Linked DNA regions of Ovis aries. The protein of the gene in region 4 interacts with the protein of the main gene of each other region in a pairwise test. Links are inferred from orthologs where the notes say so. Each region holds a gene or a part of one and is shown on either strand. Other genes may lie near its edges. The genes, in order: SAP30BP, GCM2, PATL1, FHL3, DCDC2B, HIPK1 and SLC25A46.

Evidence for each region.
Region 1: the proteins of FHL3 (region 4) and SAP30BP interact in binary tests that used the Homo sapiens proteins (3 or more experiments, as listed by UniProt). The two-hybrid records come from large-scale screens. The link is inferred for Ovis aries from reciprocal best matches to the Homo sapiens genes FHL3 and SAP30BP.
Region 2: the proteins of FHL3 (region 4) and GCM2 interact in binary tests that used the Homo sapiens proteins (3 or more experiments, as listed by UniProt). The link is inferred for Ovis aries from reciprocal best matches to the Homo sapiens genes FHL3 and GCM2.
Region 3: the proteins of FHL3 (region 4) and PATL1 interact in binary tests that used the Homo sapiens proteins (3 or more experiments, as listed by UniProt). The two-hybrid records come from large-scale screens. The link is inferred for Ovis aries from reciprocal best matches to the Homo sapiens genes FHL3 and PATL1.
Region 5: the proteins of FHL3 (region 4) and DCDC2B interact in binary tests that used the Homo sapiens proteins (3 or more experiments, as listed by UniProt). The two-hybrid records come from large-scale screens. The link is inferred for Ovis aries from reciprocal best matches to the Homo sapiens genes FHL3 and DCDC2B.
Region 6: the proteins of FHL3 (region 4) and HIPK1 interact in binary tests that used the Homo sapiens proteins (3 or more experiments, as listed by UniProt). The two-hybrid records come from large-scale screens. The link is inferred for Ovis aries from reciprocal best matches to the Homo sapiens genes FHL3 and HIPK1.
Region 7: the proteins of FHL3 (region 4) and SLC25A46 interact in binary tests that used the Homo sapiens proteins (3 or more experiments, as listed by UniProt). The two-hybrid records come from large-scale screens. The link is inferred for Ovis aries from reciprocal best matches to the Homo sapiens genes FHL3 and SLC25A46.

Annotation. Positions count from the first base shown.
Region 1 is NC_056064.1:55,228,975-55,232,752, forward strand, and holds part of SAP30BP (SAP30-binding protein), read right to left. Parts: intron 2,653-3,778; coding exon 2,564-2,652; intron 531-2,563; coding exon 439-530; intron 1-438. UniProt on the Homo sapiens protein: Plays a role in transcriptional repression by promoting histone deacetylase activity, leading to deacetylation of histone H3.
Region 2 is NC_056073.1:44,530,322-44,534,687, reverse strand, and holds the start of GCM2 (chorion-specific transcription factor GCMb), read right to left. Parts: upstream 3,004-4,366; coding exon 2,914-3,003; intron 68-2,913; coding exon 1-67. UniProt on the Homo sapiens protein: Transcription factor that binds specific sequences on gene promoters and activate their transcription. Through the regulation of gene transcription, may play a role in parathyroid gland development.
Region 3 is NC_056068.1:81,413,836-81,417,613, forward strand, and holds part of PATL1 (protein PAT1 homolog 1), read right to left. Parts: intron 3,444-3,778; coding exon 3,346-3,443; intron 2,896-3,345; coding exon 2,836-2,895; intron 1,814-2,835; coding exon 1,665-1,813; intron 455-1,664; coding exon 295-454; intron 1-294. UniProt on the Homo sapiens protein: RNA-binding protein involved in deadenylation-dependent decapping of mRNAs, leading to the degradation of mRNAs. Acts as a scaffold protein that connects deadenylation and decapping machinery.
Region 4 is NC_056054.1:12,739,569-12,742,397, reverse strand, and holds the end of FHL3 (four and a half LIM domains protein 3), read left to right. Parts: coding exon 1-41; intron 42-853; coding exon 854-1,023; intron 1,024-1,137; coding exon 1,138-1,614; 3' UTR 1,615-2,192; downstream 2,193-2,829. UniProt on the Homo sapiens protein: Recruited by SOX15 to FOXK1 promoters where it acts as a transcriptional coactivator of FOXK1.
Region 5 is NC_056055.1:235,318,255-235,322,721, forward strand, and holds the start of DCDC2B (doublecortin domain-containing protein 2B), read right to left. Parts: upstream 3,022-4,467; 5' UTR 3,011-3,021; coding exon 2,745-3,010; intron 1,845-2,744; coding exon 1,793-1,844; intron 1,362-1,792; coding exon 1,285-1,361; intron 1,041-1,284; coding exon 909-1,040; intron 601-908; coding exon 454-600; intron 350-453; coding exon 310-349; intron 1-309. Other genes in the region: IQCC (IQ domain-containing protein C), read right to left, coding at 3,802-4,467.
Region 6 is NC_056054.1:91,246,765-91,251,255, reverse strand, and holds the start of HIPK1 (homeodomain-interacting protein kinase 1), read right to left. Parts: upstream 2,763-4,491; 5' UTR 2,738-2,762; intron 2,704-2,737; coding exon of another isoform or gene 2,327-2,703; intron 1,303-2,326; 5' UTR 1,231-1,302; intron 1-1,230. Other genes in the region: basic proline-rich protein-like, read left to right, coding at 2,327-2,703, 2,763-3,215.
Region 7 is NC_056058.1:107,227,395-107,231,786, forward strand, and holds the start of SLC25A46 (mitochondrial outer membrane protein SLC25A46), read left to right. Parts: upstream 1-1,402; 5' UTR 1,403-1,525; coding exon 1,526-1,793; intron 1,794-4,392. UniProt on the Homo sapiens protein: Transmembrane protein of the mitochondrial outer membrane that controls mitochondrial organization.

The DNA.
Region 1 (3,778 bases), on a different chromosome or scaffold from region 4:
CTGGGCTCTTTCCTGGATGTGTCACTTGCTTGAACGTTGGAGAGAGTGAGACCCAGACACAGGTCTGTCTGTCAAACCTGCATAGAGTCAACAGCTTTCTAGAGGTAGGAGGACCTGGGGTGACCATCCAGACAATCCCCTCCTCGTACAGCTGAGGACACTAAGGCCTCAGGTCATGCTCTCCAGGAGGAGAGAGGGAATGAGAGCCCAGGCAGGCCCCACCCAGCCCACGTCTCGCGGCTTCCCCTCTGCACCTGCTGCCTGGCTCTTCAATGGCAGACGAAGCCTCAGTGAGGTTAACGCAGTCTGGGTGATGGTCTCTCTGGGCTCAGCTGGGATCTGAGCCGGGCTTCTCCCTGCACCTCTCTGGAGGCATTCTTGTCCCCAGTCCAACATCACTCCTCCCACCGCCCCCCTGCTGGCTCATGGAAAACTCACCTAGGATTCCGAAATTCCTTCTTCCTCTGGATAATGTAGTTCATGTCCATCCCCTCCTTTATCTTCCGCTCATACAGCTTCTGGATCTTGTCCTACGGAAGGGAGACAGAAAGACGATGGTGACGGAACCTCTTGCAATCCCAGCCTGTGGTCACGTGCTGTGGACACGAGGACCTGGAGGAGCTGAGTGAAGCCCTGCTCCGGCCAGACGGTCTTCATCCACCCAGCGCAGACGAGACAGATGGAGACCAGCCTGCTTTCGCTGTGCTTTCTCCTGATCCCCTCTCGGTGGTCAGCAGTGGGAGGAATAAGAAGGTGGAGCTAGAGAAGCCATGGCGAAGACAGTGAACAAACCCTCACTTGGGAATCAGCTGCTGAATCATCTGAAGAGGAGTTTCAAGAGTTAGTGTTGACAGGTGGGGGCTGAATGCTGGATTTTAATTTTAACACGGGGTTAGTCAGACCCAGCAGGAGACCTGGGAAGGCAGGAGGAGAGGTGTCACAAGCCTCCCCAGTGTCCTCTGAGGGGAGGCTCACTGCTGGCCGGTCCTTGCCACTTTACCAAGAGGCATTGCTGGGGGTCAAGAGCCAAGCCCTGCTCTGGCTCAATGGGAAACCAGAGAACCACCTGGCGGGGTCCAGGCCAGTGTAACAGGTGTCCCCAGGCCCACAGAGATGATGCTGGCAACAGATGGCGTCAGGGCTGCCCAGGGAGTTGAAGAGGCCCCAGGAACCCGAGCCTCAGGGCAGGGCTACCTCTGAGGAGGGGCAGGCTTACCCAGCGAGGCTGGCGCTAGCCCAGGGCAGGGTCTCTCGGCAGCCTCCCCTACTAGTGGCAGCTAAACACAGACTGTCCAGGAGGAAACCACTTGGAGTGCTCTTCACCTGCAAGAGGAGGTGGGCGGGGGGCGGGAGGGGTGGCTCGCCTGAGCGAGGTCCTCTGGAACATTAGGAAAGGTGACTCACTCCTGTCAGGAGTCAAGACTGCCCAGGGAAAGCACTGAGCTGGGGAGAGAGGTCTGTAACACGCTTGCCAGGAAGAGAGAAGCCGAGCGCATGCCTCCATGTCCTCGCTCTGTGGGTGATGGAGGCAGGCCTTCCCGGGAGGCTCAGCAGGTGGAGGCACCGCTGTATCTTACAGATGACTTCTCTGTGTGCCCTCGGCTGTCAGGCTGGTTCTTCTACCTCAGGGGAACTAAAACCTTTGCTCATGGTTTCTGCCACTAGCAGGATCTAAAAAGGAGAAACATTTTGATCTTGAAGGCTGGGGCTGGCTATCTCTGCCTGGTGGCTGCTGGACTGTCCTTACAGGCTGCGGCTTGCTGCCTGGAGTGTGAGCGACATGGGGCCGGGGGTGGGGTGCTATGTGGTGGTGATGGGGAGACGACTCAGCAAAGGGAACGGATTTCCAGGAAGAGAAGGGACTGTGTGCTGCAGCCCTGCCCCGCTCGGCACCCACCCAGGTGGCCGCATTCCAGCCCCAGGCCCCGTTAGTCACCCCTCAGTCGGCATGTGCGAGGGCTTGCTGTGTAGCCAGAGGCCCCACTTGGGGGCAGCCATGGGTGTCTGCCCTACTGTAAGGTCCCCTTCAAAGGGGAACACGCAGAGGGACAAGGAGAAACCGCCACTGAGGCTGACAGGGAGGAGTAAGGCCAGCTGTTCCCTGTGGGCCTGCTCCCGAGGTGACCGCACTCCACACTCCATCTCCGCAAGTCAGGGATCATCAGACAAGAAGCCCATGAACTGCCATTTCAGGAAAACGAGGGTTGAAGTGTACGCATTCACATGCTATGCATTTGCATTCCTACTTGTTTCCTGAACATTCTGATGACCCCTCAGGTTCTTAGCCAAGTTCCTTCAGAGACATTCCCTGAGCTCAGGGATGCCCAGAAAAGGCATGTTGTTTGCTCTGCTGGCAGTGTCCCGGGGCAGGCAGGGGCCCGGCTGAGGCTGCAGAGGCAGCCGGGGCTAGGGCGCCGGCTCCTAGGAGCGGCCTAAGCGAGGTCACCAGGACTGCAGGCTCCTTCCCACTTGGGCTGTTTCTTTTCCAGAAGCCACTTAAAGTCAGACCCAGCCAGACACCTGCCCAGTCTGCACGGGCCTCAGCAGCTGAGCGTGTGCGTACCTGTAAGTGGTTTGAGCACCGGCCGGGGGGTTCCGGAGGGATCTTGATCTCATCAGGTGACATGTTCCGGACTCTTTCAGAAAAGGAGGCTGTGGAGAGAACAGAGGAGTTCTGTGGGTGCGCGGGAGGGTCAGGGTGGGGGCCCGACATGGACAATAAAAAACCCTTCAAGACAGGAAAGGCACAGAAAGCATTTTCAAGGAGAGATCACACACTATAAAATAGTAAAACAGGGCATGCGGAGTGGCTCTCGGAGGGTGCATCTGAGTTGAACTTAAATGACCTGAAGGAACCGGTAGGTGCAGTGGGGAAAGAAGTTCAGGCAGAGGTCATGAGCGGCCACATCACAGCCGGGCCCAGAGGAAAGACTGTGTCCTGGGGGTGCTGGTGAGTGTTTAACACCAGCTGGGAAGTGGGAGAGGCAGACCCACGACCCGCAGCATCTGCCCCTTTCTCTGGTGTAAATTCTCCCGTCACGGCCAATCAATTTCAAGCTACCAGTGTGAAGTCATGAGCTCAGGGCTGGGAAGACATGCACACACGGCTGTGCCTCCCACGGGCTCTGCCCCTGCCACACCCTCCCAGGATCCCGGGAACTCAGAGCTGCTTGGTGCTGTCCCCCCACCTCAGGCTCTGCTACCCAGGGTCCACCACAAGCTCAGGGTTCCCTGGGATTCGGGACTCAGCATTCAAAACTGCTTTGTACATAAATGACATCTATTCAATACAAAATGACCTGCTGGTTATTAGCTTTGGGTCCTTCAGCAGTAAACCAATCAACCCTCACTCGGTCCACTTCACTCCTGGGAACAAAAGGCCTGATTCTGCAGTGAAGACCCACAGCTCCCAAGGGACAATTCCCTTGGCGATGTGCCCCTGCCCACCCAAGTTTCTCTCTCCCTCCATTCCCCTCCCTGCTGCCTCCGGCCACTCTGGCAACTGCAGAGTCGTGCTCTGGATCACCCAGACAATATGCTACTTGTTGTAAGACTCTGTCTGTGCTTTTTAAGACGTTCGCTCATGAAAAGGACTATACAATGAGCAAACAGCAGGCGGAGCAGGGTGGGGCAGGATGAAGGCAAAGAATGAACCACCCAGCACCACTAACACCCAGCAAGTACTCACTGGGTACCCGACATGTGCCGGCCCTGGCGGGACTCTCTCAGCCCCCAAGCGGCCGCCTGGACTGCCAGTGGATGGCCGGGTGAGCCTGTC
Region 2 (4,366 bases), on a different chromosome or scaffold from region 4:
CGCTGCTGTAGATGAGGCGCACATAGCCGTCCGGCCACTCGCAGAAGCGGTCAAAGTGGGCTGGCTTCTGCAAAGGCGTCCAAGGACAGCAATCAAGTTTATCCACCCCAAACCCCATGCAGCAAGCTTTTAATCTTCTCCAAGCATATCAGGATGAAAACTGAGTCTTTTTAATTCCAGAAATACTGTAAAACCCAGAAGCTGCGCTCTTACAAAATGTCACTCATTGTGTGTGTGTCCCCTTCTGACAACTGGCTATAAACTGATGCTTCTATACCACTTCCTACAAAAATGGTACAGGTATTAGTTTTAGCTTTCACACTGCCCACAGACAATAGGCGCAATATTGTCCCTATTTAACTGAATAGTAAACGGAGGCCAGAGAGCTTCATCGACTTGCCCAAAGTCACACAGCTAGTAAGATCTGGCTGTAGGATTTGAGCCCACACAGTTTGACTCCAGAGCCTGTCCTCCTTACCACCAGGTTATACCACTTCTTGGTGTATTCACATGTTACAAATATTTTTAAGGTAAGTATTAAAGTGCCAGGGCAGAAAGTGGTTAGAAAGTTCTTCACTGATATACACTTGAGCCTGTATCTTTTCTTCCATCCAGTGGTTTTTCTTCCAAAGCTCTTGGCTTGATACCCAGTACAACATGAGAGAGACAAGAACAGCTTCCCAAAGTAGCCTTCCAGGTTTGCATGTATACGTGCTGAGTCACTCAGCCGTGTCCAACTCTTTGCCACCCCATGGACTGTAGCCCCCAGGCTCCTCTGTCCATGGGATTCTCCAGGCAAGAATACTAGAGTGGATGGCCATACCCTCCTCCAGGGGACCTTCCCTACCCAGGGACTGAACCTGCGTCTCTCTCTAATGTCTCCTGCACCAGCAGGCAGGTTCTTTACCTCTACTGCCACCTGGGAAGCCCAGCCTTCCAGGTTTACAAGGGTATTATGATGACAGCCTGGATATAAGGTAAACCCGAGCACTTGGTGGAGCCTGCTAGGTCCTGGTCCTCTCTCCAGAGCAATATGGATTGTCATTCTCCTACACAAAGAGCTGCCTGGCTAGAATAATGTGATATCTAAAAGAATGAACACCGCTTTCCTATTCATGTTTGGTGGTCCTTGTCCATATTATGCATTATTTATACTGCGATGTCTTTCTTGTTATAAGTTTAATATAAAATTACCCTTTCCTGCACACTCAACTATTTACCAGCTACTCTTTATGGCAGGGGTCTGCAAACTAGGGACCATGTGCCTAATTCAGCCTCCCACTTGTTTTAGTACAGCTCACAAACTAAGAATGATTTTGACATTTTTTAATGATTGAGGGGACAAATCAAAAGAATTATATGTTGTGACACGTGAAAAGTCACACGAAATCCAAATTTTGCTATCCACGATGAAGTGGTATTAGAACACGGCCATGTACATTTGTCTACGTTTGGTCTGTTTTCACACTATAGTGTCCTAAACATGCACAGGATGAGAGTTTAAGACCGTTATCTAATTCCACTGCTTAATGACAAGTGAGTGACCCTAGACGAAGGCAAATTCAGGATGTCACAATGTGACAAATTCAATGTCACACTGTGAGTGTAGCCCTTTCTCCTTGGGTTAGCCGGAGCAGGACCCTCGTTCTCCAACCCAGAGCACCTGCCTCTTTAGAGACGGCACACTCACTCTGTTTAAGGACTAATCTCTCAGAGGATAAGTTCTTCACATTTACATGGGAAGTCTAGAAAATGCTTGTGAGGGAACCCATCCTTCCCTTATTTGGATATGGCTCTTTTCTAAAATACAAGAACAGATTCCCCCCAGCCCCCGTGGGGATTTACACGGACAGAGGTCAGTGGGAAGGAGATGCCGCAGCTGTACTGTGGTCCACTTTCACAGAATGGTGCAGTGTGACCCTAAAGTAGGCAGGCTTGAAAACAAACAGATTTCCATGAATGTGTACCCCAAAGTACTTATCTCTTTGAGAGGCTACCCAACGTTGCTAATGAATTGCTGTCCACCTGAACAGCTGTATGGCACATAATAGATGCTGAATAAAGGTCAAGTCTCTCTCACCCCTTGTACCAGGGCATTGCCAGAAGTCCACCTCTGCAAATGTTTCCAGGTCATTCCTAATTCTCCTTCCACCTCCACCCAGGACTTTAAAGTCACTCTGCAGTTTTTGCTCCCAACCACTGTGACCAAGCATAATGGCCCAGCCCATTCTGGGGACTTGGCTTGAGACACCTTCTTTCTGTTAAAAACTAAAACAAATTCGCCCTAAATTCACCCTAAACAGATGACACTGATTTCCTCCTCACTAGAGAAGTAAGCTCAGAAGTTGTGTCCAAAACCTGGATTCCAGAGGCTGTCTGGGCGCCTGCGACCTGGTTAGCGCGACTGCAAAGCCCCTCAAGAGCCACGCTTCATCCTAGCAGCCAGGATAAATGGCCCAAGTCCTGCTGTTTAAGATTCGGTCGCTGCAATTTATGGTCCTATCTCAGTTCCGCTGCGTGAGAAGAGGTGGCATCTGCATTCACCAAGATGCCCCTCCACCTTTCTAGTGGATGTCGAAGAATGGACAAGCAAGAGTCAGCGGATTCCTACCTCAGTTAAAAGAAAGTGGGGGACGCGGTGTCAGGCTCCCGGCGGCCAGACGACCTGAAACGTGGAGCCTAATTGACGGTTCCTGCTGCTTTCTGTGTTTTCAAAAGGGTTCGAGGAAACAGGTGGGAGAAGACAATCTCTAGCCCCAGCTCCGCCATTTGTGGAGTCCCTGCACATTGGCGGGCTCTCAGGGATGTGTTTTTTTGGAGGGAGGAGGAGGGTAGGGCGGCCTGTCCACAGGCTCTGCCAAGACATCCCTCCTCTTTGGAGGGAGAGCGGCTCGCGCAGCGGGTTTCACGCACCTGCGGCATCTGCGGGTCGTTGATGTCCCAGCTGAGCTTCATCCCGTAGGACCACGCGCAGTCCGCCAGCTGCCCCTCCGCCGCCGGCATCCGGTTCTCCTCGCGGGCGCTCCCTGCCAAGTGTCCTGAAAGACACAAGAAAAACAAACCAACCTAGAGCAGCCCAAGGTTGTTTTCCCGCTGTTTTAAAAGCAAGTGGAGAGAGAGACAGACAGAGAGGCCGATTTAGAAATGCAGAAGCGGCGGACAAGGGCTCGGGGCGGTTCGGGTGGAGCCCTGTTCTTGGTGGCAGTGCTGAAAAGTCTCCACCTGGAGCACAGCGCGGGCGCCAGGCAGCTGCCTGCTCGTTTATAAAGGTGCTCCCCCCACCCCCGCCCCGCGGCCCCGCGCGCTGTGCTCCGCCTTTCCTCGCTCCCCGCCCGCCCGCTCCCACCCTCCAGGGACCTGCAGGGCCGGTTCCCCACTTCCAGGCAGGGCGAGGGACGGAGGGGAGGTGGACCTGAGGACTCAAGGTGACGGGAAACTGAAGCCTAGACGGGCCAGAGTCGGGGGAGGTTGAAATGTCTAGTTAAAGTTGAAACTCATGTTCATTTTCCTAACTGCGCCCCACCTCTGGGGTTTCCTACTGGATCTAGAGAGAGGCTTTTGAGACAGAACCTTTCCAGCAAAATGCCCAAGAGGTAATACTCAGTCCCCAGGCAGTTCGGGAACCACCTCTAAACGCCTGGGCGGCCGCGCGCCCTTGTCCGAGAAGATGCGCGCCTACTAGCTTTGGGGCGCGTTCTTTTCGGGGATTTTGTTCCGGCTGATGTTGCTGTTCAGTCGCTCAGTCGTGTCCGACTCCCTGAGACCCCATGGACTGCAGCATGCCAGGCTTCCCTATCCTTCACCATCTCCCAGAGCTTGCTCAAACATGTCCACTGAGTCGGTGGTGCCATCCAGCCATCTCGTCCTCTGTCGTCCCCTTCTTCTCCGGCCTCTGAGTCTTTTCTAATGAGTCAGTTCTTCGCATCAGGTAGGAAGGGGGAAGGGGAAGGAGGGGGGGAACTCTGCGGCCCCCAAGCGCCCCAAACCTGTATTTTCTCTGCCGCCTTGGCTACTTCTGAGCCTGTTTTCTTTCTGCTAGGAAAAGGATCTGAGGCTCGGAGATTTCTCAGTCGCCATCCACATGAAACGACCCTTTTAAAAAATAGTATTTTTTTTTCCTCCCTAACCGCGTGGAAATCGTCGTGGAAATATCACAACAAAATCGTATTTACACCCATTGCGTCTGCAGAGGCTCTGGAGACTGGAAGAACCAGGTGAGCGCATAGGGCGCTGTGGGCTTCCCAGGGCTGAGACCAAGCTTTCTTTAGCTGTGCGCCCACTTCCTTAGGGTGATTGGAAGGGCCCAATACAAGGAACCAATGGAAGGGGTTTAAGTTGCTCTGTGGCCGCCACGGTCAGCGAGGGA
Region 3 (3,778 bases), on a different chromosome or scaffold from region 4:
GGGTAGGGCTGAACTATTTGCTTCCAAAGCAGTTCTAACGCAGATCACAGCTTAACAACTGTGTCACACGAGACGGAATTACTGCTTTCCTCATGTTTAGGGACATGGTCTGTTGGATAAAGAAGTAGCATTAAAAACATAGGCTTGGAGTAAAGTTTTTGCTTTAAATACTCATGGAGCCAAAGATTAGGTAAAAGAACACAAAAGGGAAAAGGGGGGAAAATAAGTTTGGCTTCTGGAAATCTTATCCACTGTGAAGACCCAAGGGAAAGAGGACCCCACATGGCGGGTCACCTCATCCTGCGCATCCTTCTTGATGAGGAAAGGCAGGTTCCTGGCTGTTGTCATGAGAATGTCCGCTGCTTGCTCTGTGGAGAGGAAAGGCAGGACCCGGGCCACCATCCTCTTCCCCTTTCGGATGCACATGATCTGCACAAAGTGGTCGTCACTCGGGCTGCGGGGAAGAAAAGGCCAGCTCGGGTCAGCAACAGCAACGCAGAAACCCCCTTTCTCCTCCTCCATGTTGCCAGATGAACACACTGCATTCGTGTGCACCCTGCAATGATCTGCACTACAAAACAGTGAGAATTACTTTACCAACTCTCAACAAATAATAAAAAGTAAATTCTTTGAGTTTCATGAATATTGAAAATCATTTCAAAAATTGTACATTAAAAAAACTAATCTAACCATAGGCACTGATTTCCTTTATTAACTTTCAAGTAACGACACAAATGACATGGTTAAAACAGCAAAATCTGAAATATACATGTATTAATAATATTCATAATCTCAGAGATAATTCACTAGTGCTATCATTTTGAAGGCATTTTTGCTGTGTATTATATATTTTTATCTTTCATTTTTAAAAAAGGGGGATCCATATAATTTATATGGCTTGTTACTTTTTTCACTCAAAAACTTATAAACACTTTTCCATGGCAATACATAATACTTTACAGATTTTACTGGCTACGTAACAGTCCAATCTACGGAGAAACCCAGATTTATTCAACCAAGCTCCCTGTCAGTCCAACTCCAGAAAAGATGTGCTAAAAAGAAGGTCCTTTTCAAAAAGAATCATCAATTCTCTTGAATGGGCAAAGACAAAGGGAGCATCCTCTTGCATTCATCAAATAAATACTGTGATTTCTGGAACATTTACCATTAGCAAGATTCTATTCCAGATACTGGGTGGGAGAGAGATGACAGAGAGACAGAGAAATTATACTAAGAAGCTTAGTCTTCACTGGAAGACTGACTGGCTTCCACAGCAAATAAGAATTGTATGGCAATCCCAGGAAAGCATGAATGTTTACACTTTCCATCTTAGTAGGAAAGAAAATACATAAAGATTACACGGTTGAACATTAGTAAGCATAAACTAGATACAATCTATAAGCTCAACAAAAGAAACTAAATGTTTCCCACTGTCTCCAGCGTCCAGCACTGTTCCTAATAGGTATTGAAGAGGTACTTGCTAAATGAATGAATTCAAGATACATAGATTTCCACCCCCTCCCCCACCCCAGGCTCAAAAGGATTCTAAAATGTTTTCTATGGAGTGAGCTTACTGAAATGGTAAGGAAGGGTAAAGGCAGGATATATAAAGCTCAAAGGAATCCAGCGAGACTAATGTTCTCACCAAAGGACACAATTCTCACCTCTCCTGTCCAGGCAATTTCCCCCTTAAGTTGTCGTACATGCAACAAATTTTGTGCTTTCTTTCATCCATCAGGGCAGGTCGCTCTTCTTCCAGACTTAGGAGGTAACGCCTTTCGTAATCCTCCACATCAAGCAGTAAACTGTAGGTCTAAGGGAGAGACAAAGCGGGCCTCAGCAAACTCAGCGTGAGGTGCACAACGTGGCCGTCCAGGACTAGCAGACAACAACGTAAGAGTGGAAGCTCACAGAAGAGTGAGAGGAAAAACCTGCTCGCTTAAACCCAGAGAAACACTGTCAAACAACTCAGGAAGAAGACACCCTTCAGGAATCGCTCCCTGCCCCTTCTTGACCACTAATCCAGCAGGCGATGGTAGTGACACGATTATCCACTTCCCAAAGTTTCCAGCAGCAGCCCTGTTAGTAACGTGAGCAATGCACGCCACCGCGTCCCGTGATGCCTCTATCTGTGAAAACGAAACAGCTAGCGACTATAGGGTGCCAGGCCCCGCTCTAAGCACCGTGCCAATACTCACTCATGGAATACTCACCACAGCCCAGTGAGAGGAGACTCTCACCACTTTCATTCTCAAAGATTAAAAAACCAAAGACGGCACAGAAAGGTTAAATGACTTGCCTCAAGTCACAGACTTGGTGAGAAATGATTTGGAGCCTGTTCTCAGAGTCTGTGCTCTTAACGCCTATACTCTATGCCCCACAACATGGTGTTTTATGGTTCAACACTAACTGCCTACTACTGATTTTCCTTAGAACCCAGGACAGTGCCCAACACCCAGGGAATGGTCAATAAACATACGGGAACTGACTGAACAGACAATCCATTCACAGGCAGAACAGTGTAATTTTTCTCTTCATTTTCTTAGAAAGATGCCCTGCCCTAAAACACTCAGCCACTAACTGAACAAGCCTGGACAAAACCCCAGGACTTCTGATTGTAACTACAGTGCTCTTTCCACGAGGCCACAGGCGAGGTAAACCACACTCCTTTCCAGCATGCCCTGTACACAACAGGCACTTTGCACAAACATGTACATCAGTTAAAATCGCAGGACACTGGCCGACTGTTTACTTCCCCACGTGTCGCGTACACACACATTTCACAGTCTGCTAAGCTGAAACCAACTACAGCACCTTTGGCAATTCTAAACTTACTTTCTCAATTATGAAAAGGGTTTTTCGTCTTTTGTCCCGAACCTGTTTTTCTTTTGTCTCCTAAAAAAAAAGAAAAGACTTTTCAATATGAACTCTTTAACCATGTTAAGAATTATTTACTGCTGGTAAATTCCATAGGTAATTCTATTTGTGACAGTACTGTGGGGATTAATAATCAGGCAGAAGTAATGGGGGCAAAGGTCACAGAGCTGACTGAAGGGCCCACACATGAACTAGTAACTAAGTTCACAGAGGAGCAAAAGGTACTGGAGAATGCAATGGAAAATGAAGATACCATAGGAAAATCTTAAGCACACAGAAAATGATAGTTTTAAAAGCTGGAACAAACAGCTAATGCTGTTTGTGGCCAGGGTTACCTGGCAGGAGCCAGTTCAAAGGCTCCTGCCACCCCAGGTTCTGCCTGGCTGCCTTAGGATCCCAACCCAGGGACCGTCAAAGAAGCAGTGCTGACCCAGACTTCCTTAAACACACAATTCTGTGGCTACTTACATCATCCTCACTCCGAGACGTCACAACAGCATCAATCATTTTTCGGGGATTATTCACACTAGAGACAGTGAGCTTTCCCAAAGAGCCCTCAAACTGCACTGCAAGGACAAAAAGTTGCCAACAAGTAAAAACCCAGCAACACAGGCAGACAGCATTCAACGAAGATCATCACAGTCTCTCTTTTCTGGCCCCACTGCATGGCCTGCTGTTGTTTAGTTGCTGAGTCGTGTCCGACTCTTTGTGGCCCCATGGACTGCAGCCCGCCAGGCTCCTCTGTCCGTGCGATTTCCCAAACAAGAATACTGAAGCAGGTTGCCACTTTTTTCTCCAGGGGATCTTCCTGACCCAGGGATTGAACCTGCGTCTCCTCTGTCCCTTGCACGGTAGGTGGGTTCTCTGCTGCTGAGCCTCCAGGGAAGCCCCGCTGTGTTCC
Region 4 (2,829 bases):
CTCCTCGCAGTGCTCCGCCTGCGGGGAGACCGTCATGCCCGGTATGTTCCCAGGGGCTCCCGGGGGCTCGCTGTGCGTGGGACTGGCATGCCTGGCATCTGTGTAGCATCCGTGCATGTGCGTGGGACTGGCATGCCTGTCTGAGGCTTGATAAAGAACTGCCCATGCCACAGGTTCCTGGAAATTGTGTGCAGGATCTGTTGTGCCTGTTTGCTCTTTGGAGCTTAGCACGTGCAAGGACTGACACGCATGACACACACCTGGGGAAATAACACATTTGGCACACATAGTGTACTGAGACTGTCAGTGTTTGTTGCCTTGGGGCTTGTGTGCAAAGACAGAAAAGACAGATACATAGAGGACTTAACACGTGTGGCGACCTGCATGGCTGATAGAATGTGAGGATTTAGAACATGGAGATAGGCATGATGAGGATATGGCCGGGCTTCCTATGTACTGAATCTATCATGTCCTAGACGTTAGACTCGCTTGCCTCGTAGATGGGGTCTCTGTGTGTGTGCTCACACTATCACATCTGGTGTATAAGGGCTTGCTTAGCATACACTGAGTCATCGCGCCCATCACCTGGAGGCCTGGTAGCAGCTGAGGTCATCATATTCTGGGACATGTGAGGACTTCACTTAGGCCAAACCCTCAGGTCACATGCTCAGCCAGCATGTCTGGTGTTGGGGGAAAGTTAGCATGTGCAACATACGAGGTGGGGACCCTGGTGAAAATGCATGGACACCACCTTCAAGGCTGCGGGAGCAGCAGGGACCCTCCTGGAGGGTAGCAGAGGGTGGCACTCAGGAGCTTGGGACACAGCCTCTGACGGGACCCCTGTCCCCCACAGGGTCCCGGAAGCTGGAGTATGGAGGCCAGACGTGGCATGAACACTGCTTCCTGTGCAGCGGCTGTGAGCAGCCGCTGGGCTCCCGTTCCTTTGTGCCCGACAAAGGCGCTCACTACTGCGTGCCCTGCTATGAGAACAAGTTTGCTCCTCGCTGCGCCCGCTGCAGCAAGGTGGGGGCGGCGTGGAGCTCCACTGCACTCAGGGGAGGGGGTGAGCAAGGCTCTGTTGTTGCGGGGTGGGAATCCCCACGCCTCCCCCTCTGCTGACAGAGGCTGCCCCCACAGACGCTGACACAGGGTGGCGTGACATACCGTGACCAGCCCTGGCATCGAGAATGCCTGGTCTGCACTGGGTGCCAGACGCCCCTGGCAGGGCAGCAGTTCACCTCCCGAGAGGACGATCCCTACTGTGTGACCTGTTTTGGAGAACTCTTTGCACCCAAGTGCAGCAGCTGCAAGCGCCCCATCACAGGTGGGTCAGGGGGTCCAAAGACCGAATGGGTCGGGTGTAGGCGGAGGCGGGGGGGGGCAGGGGATCTGGTCTCCATGAGGCCAAGGGACAGGACCGCCCTCCAGACGGCAGCACTAATCCTCAGCCTCCCTCCAGGACTCGGTGGAGGCAAGTATGTGTCCTTCGAAGACCGCCACTGGCACCACAGCTGCTTCTCCTGCGCCCGCTGCTCCACCTCCCTGGTGGGTCAGGGCTTCGTGCCGGATGGAGACCAAGTGCTGTGCCAGGGCTGCAGCCAGGCAGGGCCCTGAGCCAGGGCTCCGGGACTAAGGCTTCTCCTCCAGACCGCCTCTGGGACCCAGCCTTTCCCCAGTTTGGGGCTCCCCTTGGGTTCCAGGATTCAGCCTCCCCACTCCAGCGTCCTCAATCTGGTACTTCCTGACCCAGGGCCCCCAAACTTGGGCTCTCCCGGAGCCTTCATCATTCAAACCCCCTCCTCAAATCTGAACTCCAGAACTCTGTCCTCTCCCTTTGGGTCGGGCTTGCTTCCCAGACCAAGCCCTTTCTCCAAATCAGGGCTCTGGGACCCAATCCCCCTTCAATGTAGACTTGTCTACAAAGACTTTAGGTCTCCTTTGGGTGCCTGAGAGGTCCTCAAAAGTCAAATATACTCAGGCTTGACGCTCCCCACCCCTGTCCCACTGGGATCCCCAAGGATGGGGCTGTCTGGGCAGCACTGGTTAGGGGGTCCTAGGGTACAGGTTTTTGCCCATCCCGTGTTGTGTTTTCTCTTTTCATTTCAGCTCCATTTTGCCCAGAGATGGGCAGAGGGGTGGGTTTGGCTTGCCCCCGTTTCAGATTCTGCAATAAAGCAGTATGAGAAAGTGAAGGCCTCTGTTTGGCTGGGGGTAGGGGGAGCGGGCGGAGGTGGGTGGAGGGGCAAGGAAGGTTCCTTCGCCATAGCTAGGGAATTCGGAGGCTCTTCCCACCTCCTCCCCGCAGGACAGAAGGAAGCTTCCAGGCGGGGTGGGAAATCTCTCCAGAGAAAGGGGATCCCCGCCGCCGCTACCGTCCCTCTCTGGTTTAGCCGGCCTCCCTTCCACCTCCCCCGCCTGCTGGCAAAGGGCTTTTTCCTCCAGTGAGGAAGGGAGGGATTTAGGGAGTTTGCGGACCGGAGCCGGCGCGGGGGCGGCTGGTGTTGGGTTCTCCGTCAGGTACAAGTCACTCCCCTCCCTTAACAGCCCCCCACGAACCCCACGGAGCATCCAGTGCGAATCCCGAGTCTGGGCCCAGACCCTCAGCCCCCTTCCCCCTCTTTCCTAGGATTAGCGGAGGCGGCCCGGGATCCGCTCGCGGCTGCACGTTTTTTGCCAAAAAAGGCAAGGACGCAGCTGCACGCGCCGCGGGAACATCTGGATCCGATTCCCGGCATGAATGGGTCATGGCCCCGCCCCACCGTGATTCAAGGGCGGGGGCGGGAATGAGCCCGGGGGTGGGGGGTTGGGGGGCTGTCCCCCAAAATGAGG
Region 5 (4,467 bases), on a different chromosome or scaffold from region 4:
GCCAGATATACTGATTTTCCCAGCATCCAATCTGGCATCAGGTCCAGCAACTCAGAGTCCTGAAGATCTTCATAGAGCCCAGATAAGCTGACTTTCAGACCTGGTCCTGGTCTGGCTGCTCAGTATCTGTGTTACCCTGAACAAATCACACCACTCCTCTGAACTTCAGCCTGTCCTCTAGAAAATGGGAATAGCAATCTTTATTTCACAAAATTATTGAGAGTATACAGTACAATAAGGTCAGAGCCTCAGTGGGAAGCTAGTCACTTCCTTCTTTCCCGCCCCCCAACAACACCCTGGGTCACCTACCACCTGCTTGTGGGGCCTGGACTTTGGACCTGGGGGATGCCTGCAATGAAAAAAGAGAAGGCTTATAGGGGGCAGAGCAGGACATGGACTCAGGGTGGCTTCCTTTGCTCTAACCTGCCTCCTCTCCCCCTCATATATACATACCAGCAGCCCCTGGGCAGTGAGGGACTGGACACCAGCAGCTCCAGATAGGGGAGGGCCTTGAACTCATCCTCTCCAACAGCCACATAGTAATGGCCGCTCATCAGAGCCTCCCTTGCTGACAGTGGGAGCCCATCCAGGGTGCAGAGCCTGGGAGAGAGGTGAGTACAATAAGGGCCAGTGAACAAGGTGGATTGATATTCAGCAGACTGTGAGAGGGTGGGTACAGTTCTTCCAAGGTGCCTGGCAGCTGCTGGTCCTCTGGGTACCAGGGCCAGTCCCCCAGGCTCCACCCTGGCTCCAAGGGCTGGGTTGGAAGGGCCTTTCCCTCTGGCACAGAAAGAAGTCCCCTTTGGGGAAACATACTTTCCTTTGGCCTTTTCATCTTCCAGGAAGGCCAGAACCAGTAGGGCGGCTCCCTTTGGGGACATTCGGGTTTCCGCAGTCCCCAGACTCACTTGCGCACAACCCCGGTCTGTAATTTCACCTTCTCCGTCAGGAGCTTCAACACTGCTTCCCAGTCCTTGCTGGCGGCCTGGGACAGCTTCAGGCTGAACGGAGGACTTAACAGGTCCCCATTCCTGAACACACTGGGACAAAGAGCAGCCTGGTAAGGGGAACGGTCCTCAGAACTCCTTACATGTGAGAGGAGGATGGCACTGGGGCCAGAAGACAGTCAGACCCAGTGCATGGGTCCCCCTTCACCCAGTAAGCATGTTGGACTTTTCCCATCCCTACCAGTCACCAGGAGCTCCTGGAACAAATCCACCTACTTTTCCTTGGCCTCACTGAAACAAAAATCTATGCCCCCGCCTCCCCAACACAGGCACTCACTGGATGTAGCAGGGGGAACCTGCAGGTAGCTGCCGTCCAAGGGCCCCATCACACAGCTGCCGAGTCATGGGAAGACCCTGAAACCCATCAGGTCCCCAGGTCAGGAACGCACTGAGGCCTTTGGTCAGGGGTAGGTCAGTCTAAGGTGGGTAGCATGAGGGAAAGGAACCAGACGGGCGGAAGAGAGGGTAAGGAGGGTGGGACCGTCACACCTTTTACCACAGGGTACCTCCCTAAGTCACATTCTTAACCCCCTCCCATCCCTCTGTTTTATAGCGTCCTCTTTCCTCTGAGGACCACAGCCTGGAGATAAAAGGTTGCAAAAGGTGCAGGGAACAGCATTTTGAAATCCTGCACCCTGGGAAGGCTAGCAGTTGGCTCCAGAGTAGGTGTGGAGAGCCGCAGATCCAGCTGCTTCTGGGGCCCCTGACCTCCCAGACCAAAGTGGGAGCCGTCCCAGAGGAGGGGGAGAACAGAGGGCTGGGGGCTGGCCTGCCCCAGGACTCACTGCCAGTCTGCTGCTCTTCCCACCTGGATCCTTCCCTCCAGGGGGTAAATAGCTGAAAGGACAGAGAGGTCACAGGTCATCTTGGGGAGCCGGGGGAACTCAGCAGCCCAGCAGCTGCCAGAGGGCGGGGCTGGGGCCCAGCTCACCAGGTCTCCCTTCCCAGTGAAACAGTCTCAAGTCATCTCAGTCCAGAAACAGATGCTGATACTTGAACCTGCCTTAGGCCCTGCATGTATCAGGCTGCACATCCAGTCCAGGGCACAAACCATATAATTAAAGGTCTAAATCCTTCTGTATCTCAGAGAGATGTTCTCCTTCATGGGGTATGTGGTTTCATCTCATTTTGTATGAGACAGAACAAGGACTCCCTAAGTAACATGGGAGTGACCAAGCCCAGATTCTAAGTCTGTCTAGCTCCCAACTCCTGGCTCCTTAGGTTACAGCGAGCAACCTCTCAGCTGAGAGTGGAGGAAGACCTGGAAGCCAGATCTGAGTTGGAAGCTCAGACACTGAAATTAGTCTCCCATCTTGGAAAGCACAGCCACACCCTGTAAAGGGTGATCCCAGCCTACTGGAGAGCACGGGATGCCTATGGATGGATTTAGAGTATTTGGTGGTGGTGGTGATGGGGGTGATAAGGATCCCATCAGGAAGAGCCTTTGGAAAAGGGGGCTCAGCTAGCATGAGAATGTTCTTCTTCCCATGGTTTGGTCCTGGCTGGATAGGCATGATCATCAGCGTCAGACTCTTGACTTGAACAGTGGTGCCACTTGTGTTGTCTACTCCTAGGCAGCTTAGGACTATCCTGATTTACCCTTCCAAAGACTGGGGTAAGACCACCCGCCTTACAGGACTGTTAATGTCCCATGAGTGAGCTACTTGGTCAGTACTGACTGTTGCTGTTGCTATTACCTCCCTCCCCAGGCTCTTTGACCACCCCCAGCCCACTCACGGGAGCTTGTGGAAATGTTCGAAACCCGCAGCCACATACAGCCCTCCGTTCTGCAGGTCTGCCAGGTCGGTGACAGGGTGGCCATGACAAGGGGTGTAGAGAGCACGCACAGCCACTGGGGCCCGCACAGCCGATGTCACCTCACAGAGGAAGGTCTCCAGGGTGGGGAAGCGGCGTTGAGTCACCACCAGCTGGCGGCCTGGGGAGAAGGGGTCCCCATTCCGGTACACCACTACCTTCTTGGCTGCTGGACTGCCACTGGCCATTGTGTGTCTGTGGCTAGAGACGCAGAGCTGTTGCCAGGCAGCTAAGACAGGGTTGGGAGCAATGCCAATCAGAGGTGGAGTCCTGCCTTTTTACCCAGGAAGGCAGGGAGAGCCTCCGTAGGAGCACCTGTCTGCATTCAGGGTCTCCGGTCTGCTCTTGGTGGGGCCTCACAGGAGTAGGGTGGGTCTGGTCATGAGGTATGAAGGAAGAGCCAGGGCTCAGTGAGAGGGGCAGTGGCAGAGATCACACTGAAACACAGGTGTTCAGTACTGGGTCGGGGCAGGGATTCTCAGAGCCTCCCCGCCACTGTAGCCCAACAGCACTGGGGGGCTGTTCCCCAAGGATGCTAGTCTGCTCCTGGGCTGTGGCTCTCAGCCAGCTCTGGAGAGGATGCCCCATGTCAGCAGAAAGTGAACAGGAGGTCCCAGAAGCTTGTCCTGACCAGGGGCAGAAGACAAATACAACCAGGCTCAGAATCTAATGAAAACCTTTATTCTCCATCTTTATTTATTCTCAACCTTTATTCTCCAACTTGACTTGCCCCAGGTTGCTCCCTATCCCCAAATGTGGGTTGAACCACAGGCAGAGGATGAAAGTAGCCTCCTACCTTCTTCCTCTACTGATGCCAGCTCTGTGCTCCAGCTTCTCTTGGCCTCACTAGCCACCAATACCCAGGGGCAGGGGCAGGAGGTACAACTGGAACCAGGGAGCTAGGATGAGGTCCTGTCTCCCTCACTGCCCTTTCATAGCATCGCCCTTTGGAACCCGGTCCTCCCTGGTTCCCCAGGGTCTAGCCTGCTGGTCCTGTTTCCCACTGTCTGCCCCTCCAGTGATCCTCTCTTGTGTGGTCTGACCCTGTGGACAGTTTCTCAGGGGGCCTTGACCTACATGGTACAGTCCTCTGGTTTTGCCATCCTTCATCGCTAGATTCACTGGAGGTTCTATCTATGGAGCTTTTATCACTGGGGATCTGGCCCTTGGGTGGTTTATTCTTCCAGAGATCCAGGCCACCATGCTCTGCCAAAGACCCATCCCAGGTGACATGGTCCTCTGAGACGCCCAACTCTCGTGGCACAGCTCTTTGCCAATCAGGCTCTTTCTGGCATGGCCCCCTGGGAGAGCTGTCTTCAATGTTTGGGTCCTCATGGAGTGTGGACAGCTGTGTCCTGGCCTTTCCAGGACAGGAGCCCTTAGATTTGAGCTCTTTGTGGCTTTCATCCTCTAGAAGTGTTGTCAGCTGCAGGCAGGTCTCTCCAGAGATCTCTTCTCCACAGTCCTGCTCTTTGGTGAGCCTCTTCCCTGTGGCCTGGTATTCCGATGGTGCGGGCAGCTGTGGCCCAGGCCATCTGTAGGATGGGTCCCTGTACTTGGCCCCAGCAGCTGTTTTATCTGGAGTGGCCAGTCTTTCTGGGAATTTGTGGGGTTGTGATCTGAGCCTCCAGTAGGAGGCATCCAC
Region 6 (4,491 bases), about 79 Mb from region 4:
ACCAATATGAAACACGAACACTAAGAGAGGACCTTTAGCCAGAAAGGGCCTAAGGAAAATAGGACTCAAGTAAGGTAACAACAGTCTGACAGATGGAAGGCAGATGAAGGTCTTACAGATGAAAGAGCTAACTTGAGAAAGTATTCCAGGGGATATGGAAAAATGAAAAGCTGTTTAGAGTATTTGACTGGAGAAGACACTGGCAAAAAAAAAGTACAGGGATTCTTGCAGCTAAAATAGAGCTTAAAAGACCCTTTCTAAAATGCCCTAGAGAAAAAGTAGACCCAAGAAAGCCACACAAGTTTTACCCAGAGCTAATTAACAGTAATGCTGTCAAAAAATTCAGGTTTTCTGATTCTTTTTCATTAAGTATGGTGGGAAAGCATTGTCCCAGGCATCCTTAAAGAAGCCAAAAGAAATGCACCCAAGTTTCCCTGTCTCCAAAGAACTTAAAATGTTGCTTAGTTAGTGTGACACATAAAAAAGAAAAATATAAAAACAGGATGTAAAAATTTTTTTAAGTGTCAAATTATGCTTTACAAAAATACATAAGGTATTTAGGGAGCTGGGAGATTGGAAACAAAAAATAAAAACAAAAAAGGAACCAAAAAGCAAATCAATGACTGTTGAAGTGGTACTTGAAAGAAAAATTATTTTGATGACTTCTGTTCAGAATGGCATTACATTTAAGGGAAGACACTGGGGAGGAATTAATAACTGTAACTTTAAAAATTATGGATTGCTTTATACAGTCATGAAAATAAAAGGGCCAATCAGGAAGTTCATGTTTGCAAAATTACCTCAAATTACAGAAGAACCAGTTACAATATATAACTAACAAGTTGCCCAAGTTCCAAGTGTAAGAAGTTCATAAGGCAGGTTTGGCTCACTGATTTCTACCAACAGAACCAATGACTAAGCTGTGCTTATGAAAACCAAACCACAGAAAAAAAGAATTCTATTTTCCAGAGAATTGTGGATGTTGAGATTATCTTTTTTTTTTTTTCCCCCCTGTTAGTAGAAAGTTCTGGTTTGGTTTTCAATCTCAAGTTACCAATCAACTTATTCTGCAATCCATAAAACTACAGTGTCCAGATAGAATAAAGATATCGCCAGCGAAAGTCTTATTATTAACCAGAGTCAGTATATTTACAAGATCTCATTCACCATTTTACTGGTAAAATGCTTTACTAGCCTGACTGCCTCCAGTTGCAACCACAAGTACCTTACCAAAATATTCTTCAAGCCAGGGAACAGTGTCTTAAAGTCAATGATATCCTTCTTCACACCATCATACCAGTTCTACAACACAGAACCCCGAGATTATTACATGTATCTCCAAAATCACCAGCTGCATTAACAACAACTATATAAAATGACCTGTTAGTATATTTTTTAGATGTTTTACAGAAAGCTTTAGACCTACATATGAAAAAGAGCTGGTAATGATTTGCATTCTCTATAATCTTAAAAAAAACTACACTACAGACCAGGAATCAAAAATAGCTTTACACAAACAAGAGCAAAATTGTAGGTTTTGCTGAGGGCATCAGCCACTTAATTTAACCCCATTTCATCAGGAGCAGGAAGCCATGCTGCTGTTTTCATCAGTTACTAGGAAACAAATAAGATAAAGGAAGGATTGGGCAGAAGAGTCTATAGCTGAAATTAATAATTTGATACAGTGACTGAAAATTCCCAAAGGAAAAAAGCACCTAGAGCTGCCTCAAAAAAGAGAATCTGCAACATAATCAATGGTTTAATTGGAGAAAAGACACACTCGAGCTTGGGGCTGTTTTTTCCCCCCTTCTCTAGCCCCTCCTCCCTTCCCCCACCTAAACAGGAAAGAAAGCGCGCCCAGCGTAAACACAGGCCAAACCTCACGGTTTGTCACCACAACAAACTGGAGGTTAGACCAGTGCTCTTGGAGACTGAGTCCCAGGTCTCGGTTGCTAGGCACAAAAACGGCCTCTTTCCCACAGACCTGTGAACACCGGGGCGGGGGTGGGGGTGGGGGACTGGGGCGCGGAGGCTCACCCAAGAGTTTTGGTGGTTTCCTCCCACCCCACCCCCGAGACTTTTTTTTTTTTTTTTAACGAAAGCTTTGGCAAAGTGGCGACAAACAGCAAAAGTTTCCCTTTGAGCCAGACTTCTAGATCTACCTAACACAGATATACATTTAGGTTGGCCGGTCCCACGGAGTCTCCACCATCATCACGATTTACCAAGCTAACGATTAAAGAACACAAGCGGAGAGGATAGGAGGGCTTCCACACCCACCCCACCGCCGCCGTCCGTTCAGACACCGCTTCCTTGTCCCCAGCAGCACAGATAGCCCCAAACCAAGGCGCTAAGCAGAGCTGTGAAATTCACACGCGCAAGCCATACAGTGGGAACCGGCCACGACACCCGAGGAAAAACCGGCCGGGTGAGGAGACGCCAGGCGGCCCCCTGTCATCTGAGGACAACACGCCCAGGAGAGAAGTGGCAGGACGCAGGAGGAGTTGCCCCGAAAAGAAGCCCACAGCCTCCCCACTTTCTTGGGAACGCCATCCCCTCCGCGGCCGGGCCGCAGGGCTTGGCGCCGGGTCCCGGGTGGGGGCTGCCGAGGGAGGCGCCCCCCGCAAGGCCGGGCGCCCCGGAGAGCCCGCGGCCAGCCTGGCCCCGCCTCGGGGACCCGATAGGAGATCGCTCCCCGCCGAGGCCCCTGCCCGCCCGCTCTCCCGCCTCGACTCACCGCCGGTGTGTCTTCTGGTTCTCAGCCGCGAGCTGGGGCTGCCGTGAGGAGGCGGCGGAGGAGACGAGATCCGGGGCCCCGCCGCCGGGTCATCATACCCCCTGCGCGAGCCGGCCCGGGCCCCGGCCCCCGCCCCCCGGAGCCGTCCCCGCGCCCGTCCCGCGAGGGGAGCCTTCTCAGCCTCCCGCCCGCTCCACCGCCCGGCCCCTCTCCGCCGCCGCCGCCGCCTCAGACCCGCGCGCTCCCTCCTCGGCCTCCCGCTGCTGTCCGGGGCCACCGCCGGGCCCCTAGCTCCGCAGCCGCGGTTGTCGCCAGACCCGACAAGCTGAGCGCCGAGCGTCCGCCCTCATCCGGCCCGCCCCGCCTCACGGGAACTAGTCCCGGGTCCCGCGCCATGACACCTACTGAGGCGGAAGTCCGGGAGAGCGGGAGGATTACGACGACCTCATATTACGGGTGGGAGTGGAAGTGGGAGTGAGTGGACCTCCGTGGGGAGCCAGTGTGGATCGAGTGCTGGGGCCATCTCCCCGCCCCCTCCGCACGGCCAACACCGAGGTGACTTAAAGGTGCCTAGTGTCGGTGTGAGGTCCAGGTTTAAAATGTCATCCCCGCTAGTGTGACATCACCACCGCCTAGTGTGACACCTCCAGAGATTGAGCAGCGCGCGGGGAGACAGCTGGGGAGGAATGACCCAAGTTTAGGCTTTAATGTTTCCTCGCTATCTAGAGACGTTCTAGCTGCTTGGCAGAGGTGTACGGGATCTGTGAGCCTCCACGCCCATTACGGCCCCCTCAGGGGGCTCTTCCATTCCCTCCTAGGGAAGCTGGGTTTGCAACAGGAGGTGAGAAAGAATAGCTGTACTCTGAACCCTACCCCTCAAGCGCTTCAGTGAGCTCATACTACCATAATTTTCTCTCCTCTACCAGGAGATAGTAAAACCGGGTGTTCAGGAAAAGGAATGCAACGTTCTGGAAAAAATAAACACTGCCTGAAAACTAGGTTATCCTAAAAGAAAGACAGTTGCCATCTCCCTTGGCCAAGAGATTCTGAAAGTCTTCAGATATACCTCTTGGTGTGTAAAATGCTCTGATTCCTAAAGTGTGGGACATTTTTAGGCAGACAGTTTATTTTTTTCCTTCCTACAAGTTCTGGAGGCAGCAAGGATCTGAGCCCTAGAAAGTGATTGTACAGACCTATGGTATTTACTTGCATATACTCTTTAAGGGGGCTTCCCAGATGGCGCTAGTGGTAAAGAATCCACTTGTTAATGCAGGAGATATAAGAGATGTGGGTTCCATCCCTGCATCAGGAAGATCCCCTAGAGGAGGGCATGGCAACCCACTCCATTATACTTGCCTGGAGAATACTGGAGGAGAGAGGAGCTTTGTGGGCTATCAAGGGTGGTAAAGAGCTGGACACGACTCAAGTGACTTAGAATGCTGGCACTCTAAGGAGAGGGCAGATACAGCTAAAACAAGATTATACTATCAGGTTACATTCCTCAGGTCCCAGTCATTTTACCTCTTTGGGTTTTGTTTGTTGTTATTTTTCAGTCCCTAAGTCATGTCTGACTCTTTGTGACCCTAGGGATTGCAGCACCCCAGGCTCCTCTGTCCTCCACTATTTCCCAGAGTTTGCTCAAATTCATGTTCATTGAGTTGGTGATGCTATCTAACCATCTTATCCTCTGCTGCCTCTCTCCTTTTGCCTTCAATCTTTCCCAGCATCAGAGTGTTTTCCAGTGAGTTGGCTCT
Region 7 (4,392 bases), on a different chromosome or scaffold from region 4:
AAGTTTTCCAATCCACTATCTGAAAAATATTCACCAAGTATTCTTTCAATATTCAATCTTCAAAAGCTAAAAAAAAAAAAAAAAGGCAATATATTACAGCTGGAATTCATATAACAGTAGGTTGTGAGGTGAGGCTGTTGTTTCTTCCTCTCAAGCGGCTACCCAGTTATCCTCCTTTTAATAAGCCATCCTTTCTCCAGTGACATAGATGTGAAGTTGTGAGATGCCCTTGTTTTTATATGACAAGTATATATATGTACACACACAGAGAGGACTTTTTCTCTTCCTTTTAATAAACAATAAGTTTTGGACCTGAGCCAATCCCAATCTTGAGCCATCATTCTTAAGGAACACAGATATATCTTTATTACGTTCAGTAACTAACTGGATATTAGATATCCAGTAATTAGGTACTAGCGTTGGAATAATACTGAATACACTTACTAAGGAAAAGAATACATTTTCCCAGCCACATTACAACTCAAGAATGTCAGTCCACTCAAGACGAAGCTGATGATTACTCTGAAAAAAAAAAAAAAAAAGAAAGGTTCGCTCGTGGAAGACTGAGAATAGTGCGTCAGAGTTCTCTGAAAGCCCTCAGAATCCTGGGCGGCCGGGGGAAGAAAGGACCGAGGAAGAACCCATGCTGGGCTCGTTGAGACCTAAGGAGACACATGCTGCCAAAACAGCCCATGGAGCTAATAAAAACAGGTAGTAGATGACTCTTTTAGAAGTCCTCTTAATTTTCAACTAGGTGTCGGTTTTGAACAGTATCGCTTGGGATTTAAATATGCCCCTGACTTGAGAAGCACGAGGCAAAATAAAAAAAACAAAACTACAGTAACTATTCGAAGTCGTTCTGTGGCCTTAGAAAAGGAAGATGCTTAATTCCTAAGTCCTGGAGAACGGTTTGTATTTTGGGGTGGAGCCAGGAGGGCAGGAACGAGGAGCTTTCTCCCGCGACCTTCATTTCTAAGGCTTGCTCCAGCCTTCCACAGACTTCGGGTTCACTGGGCCGAACGAGGCATCTCAGTAGATTTCAGTCGGAGCGCCAAGTACCGGAGGGAAAGCCAGGTGTGACCTTTGGACACCGGCAACTGGAACCTCCAAGAGCGCCTTCGTGGCTGGCGGGGCATTCGCGAGAGAAATATAGACCTCGGGCCCCTGTGTGCGGCGAGGCACTTCCGGGTGAGACGCCCAACCGCGCGTCCTCTAGCTGAAGGCTCCTCTCGCCCGATCAGAGGCCTCCCTCCAAACCCCTAGCTCCTCCCATTTCCCGGCATCCTCCCACCTCCCGGCATCCTTCCCGCGGGCCGCCGCTCCGTGTGCCGCCGCGTTTCCTTAGCAACCGCGCCTCCCGCGGCCGCAGGAAGCGGTAGGGTCACGTGCTCCCTGCACGTCCGGGCTGGCGGCGTGACTTCCGGGTGTCAGGCTGCCCGGGCGCCGCGGCCGCTGAGGAGAGGCTGTGTGGCCCGGGTGGCGGCGGGCTCCGGGGCGGGCTGGCCTTATCCTGCCCCTGTGCGCGATGCATCCGCGGCGCCCGGACGGGTTCGACGGCTTGGGCTACCGGGGTGGGGCCCGGGACGAGCCGGGCTTCGGCGGCGCCTTTCCGGCGAGGTCCTTCAGCTCCGCGTCGGACCTGAGCCGCTGGGTGACCTCTCCCCCAGACATCCCGGGGAGCCGCAACCTGCACTGGGCCGAGGAGAGCCCGCCCCGCGGCGCGCCCGCCCCCTGCACGCCGCCCGAGGGCCCGGCGGAGGGGCCCTGCCCCGGCGGCGCGGGGCGCAGCGGCGGTGAGGGCCTGGGCGGCGTGCAGGGGCGGGCGCCGGAGGGAAGGCGGGGAGGGCCTGCGGGGCGGCGGGGAGGGCCTGGAGGCCTCGGAGGGCTGGCGGGGTGGTCCGCGCGGAGCCGCAGGGAGGGACCCCGGGCGCTGGAGGGGCGGGGAGAGTGATCGGAGGCCAGGCGCCCGCAGACCACGGAGGCGCGACCCGCCGCGCCGCCCCTTGGCGCTCCTTTCGCCCTCTGCCCCCGGAGCAGGCCTCCGCCCTCTCCCTACTCCAGTGGTTTCTGGAGAGGCTTGCCGTAGCCTTGGCGTGGCAGCGATCACGGAAGGTTTCGGGATGCTACCTCGCATGCCCTGAATCCACAAAGGAGACTGGTTTGCTGTTTATGAGGACTCACATGAGAAATAGCTGATTGACCGTCCGCTGTATCACCTTCATTCCATTGATCAGTGGTGGCTTTGCGCTGTGCAAAGAACTTTCTCCGAGACCATAGGCAGTCTTGGGCTCAGAGCTTTCTCTACCACTCTTAAAAGCTGAGACTTTCTTATCTTTGTGTTCTCTTACTGTCCTCATCTTTAAGGTGTATAGAAGAATAATTCAGGGTTTTGTTAAAAAAAAAAAAAACCCTACAAACAGAATGAGGTGTCAGTAATGCCTGAAACAGTGTGGACCACACAGTAGGCTAAAAGTCGGTCTTTTTTCCATGTAATCATAGGAGTTGTGTTTGTGTTCTAGATCCCAAACCACTACTATGTTTTCCCACCTCCTCTCTTTTTTTTTTTTACTTAAAAACTCCACTAAAGAATGAAAAACACTGAAGACATTTTCAAGATAAGAATTTGGAATCAAGACATAATTATTCTGTGCAATGTCAGAAGATCGGTTCAGTTCAGTCACTCAGTCGTGTCAGAGTCTGCGACCCCATAGACTGCAGCACGCCAGGCCTCCTTGTCAGAAGACAGATGTTTTAATTGCAACCCTATGTGATGTAGATATTTTCAACATCGTCTGGAGTCATAAAATGGAGATAATGGCTGCTGCATGTTCCCGTCTAAAAGTGTTAGAATAATAGATCACATCCTTAAGTATGATGTACATTGTAGACATACATTTTAGCCCCGTTTCTTCGACTAGGAAGTACAGTAACATTTATTTGGGTTACGGGGAGGAACAGATCGTACCGTCATCCAGTGAGGATGGATGGAGGATCAGTGACTTACTCAGTGTTATGTGTACAGTTAGGTTTTTACTCTGTCTAGTTCTGTTTTTTTCCCATAGGTCTCAGAAGGAGTACTGGAAAGTTATAAATTATTCAGAATGCATGTGATTGCCTCACAGTTACCTTCTCAGGCAGTAAAGCTGACGTTTTATCTTTTCATAATTTATGCGCTGATGGTTATAATGAGATCTTAATATCCAGGGTTTTGTATGGAGTGTTTTGCAGCAGTTAAGAAGCTGATGAAAAACTCTGCAAAGAGGATAGAAGCCTGGGAGACTTAGTTAATACTAGTAAGCCTTCCTGACACCTTCCAGAGAATGTCAGTGGTATTTTTTTGTTCGTTTGTTGGATGACCTGTACAAACACAAAGGGAAAAGATGAAAGGAGGAAAGTATCTTAATTGGGCAAAAGAAGCCTCTGCCCTTGTACATTTTTCAAGGCAATGGTGGTTTCCCCAGAGATTGTTTACATGGTCTTGTTCTGCCTCTCAGGGAATAGTGAGGGCATCACTTCATTAGAAAGAGCAGAGATGAGAGGGAGGGATTGGAGAAGAGGGGAGTGAAAACAGAATGGGAGAAAAATCCCTTGTGAATATTTTAGCTGAAATTTAATGTCTAGTCTCTTGGGGTTTGATATTTCATCTTTATGATTTTAAGTTTTTCAGTTAGGGAAAAATTTATTTTCTCTTTTGACTGTAAACCCAGCTGTAAACCCTCCTGATCAGACTCTAACTGTGCCATGAGCAGCAGCACATATGTGCGCAGTAGTGTATCACAGAGACCTGATTTAGCTGCGTGTTCAGTCACTCAGTCAAGTCCGACTCTTTGCAACCCATGGGCTACAGGGTGTCAAGTGGCCTCTGTCCCTGGGACTTTTCAGGCGAGAGTACTGGAGTAGGTTGCCATATCCTTCTCCAGGAATTAAGCAGCTACTATCAAACTATTCTGGAGGAAAATGGCAACCCACTCCAGTATTGCCTGGAAAATCCCATGGACAGAGGAGCCTGGTGGGCTACAGTCATCGGGGTCACAAGAGAGTGGGACACGACTTAGCAACTAAAGAACAACACATCAAAGTCTTTAAAACTTGAGAAGAGAGCCTCTTTTCCCCATTTCAGCTACCCTAAGTGCTCTTTCAACTTAATTATATTCATGGGATGTTTTGCTTGCAACTGTTGGTGTAACACAGATACTTTCCACCAGTCACAGTGAATGACTGATTACAATACAGGAGGTATGGTTGATGAAAGTTATCAGTCAGAGTCCTCACTAGAAAAAAAAATTAGTTGGAAGTTGAAAACTAGTAGCTCTTGGCATTTACCTACAAACATGTTGGATTTGGTCTACATGAAATTTTAATCCTTTTTAAAATAGTTGCCAGCATTTTAAA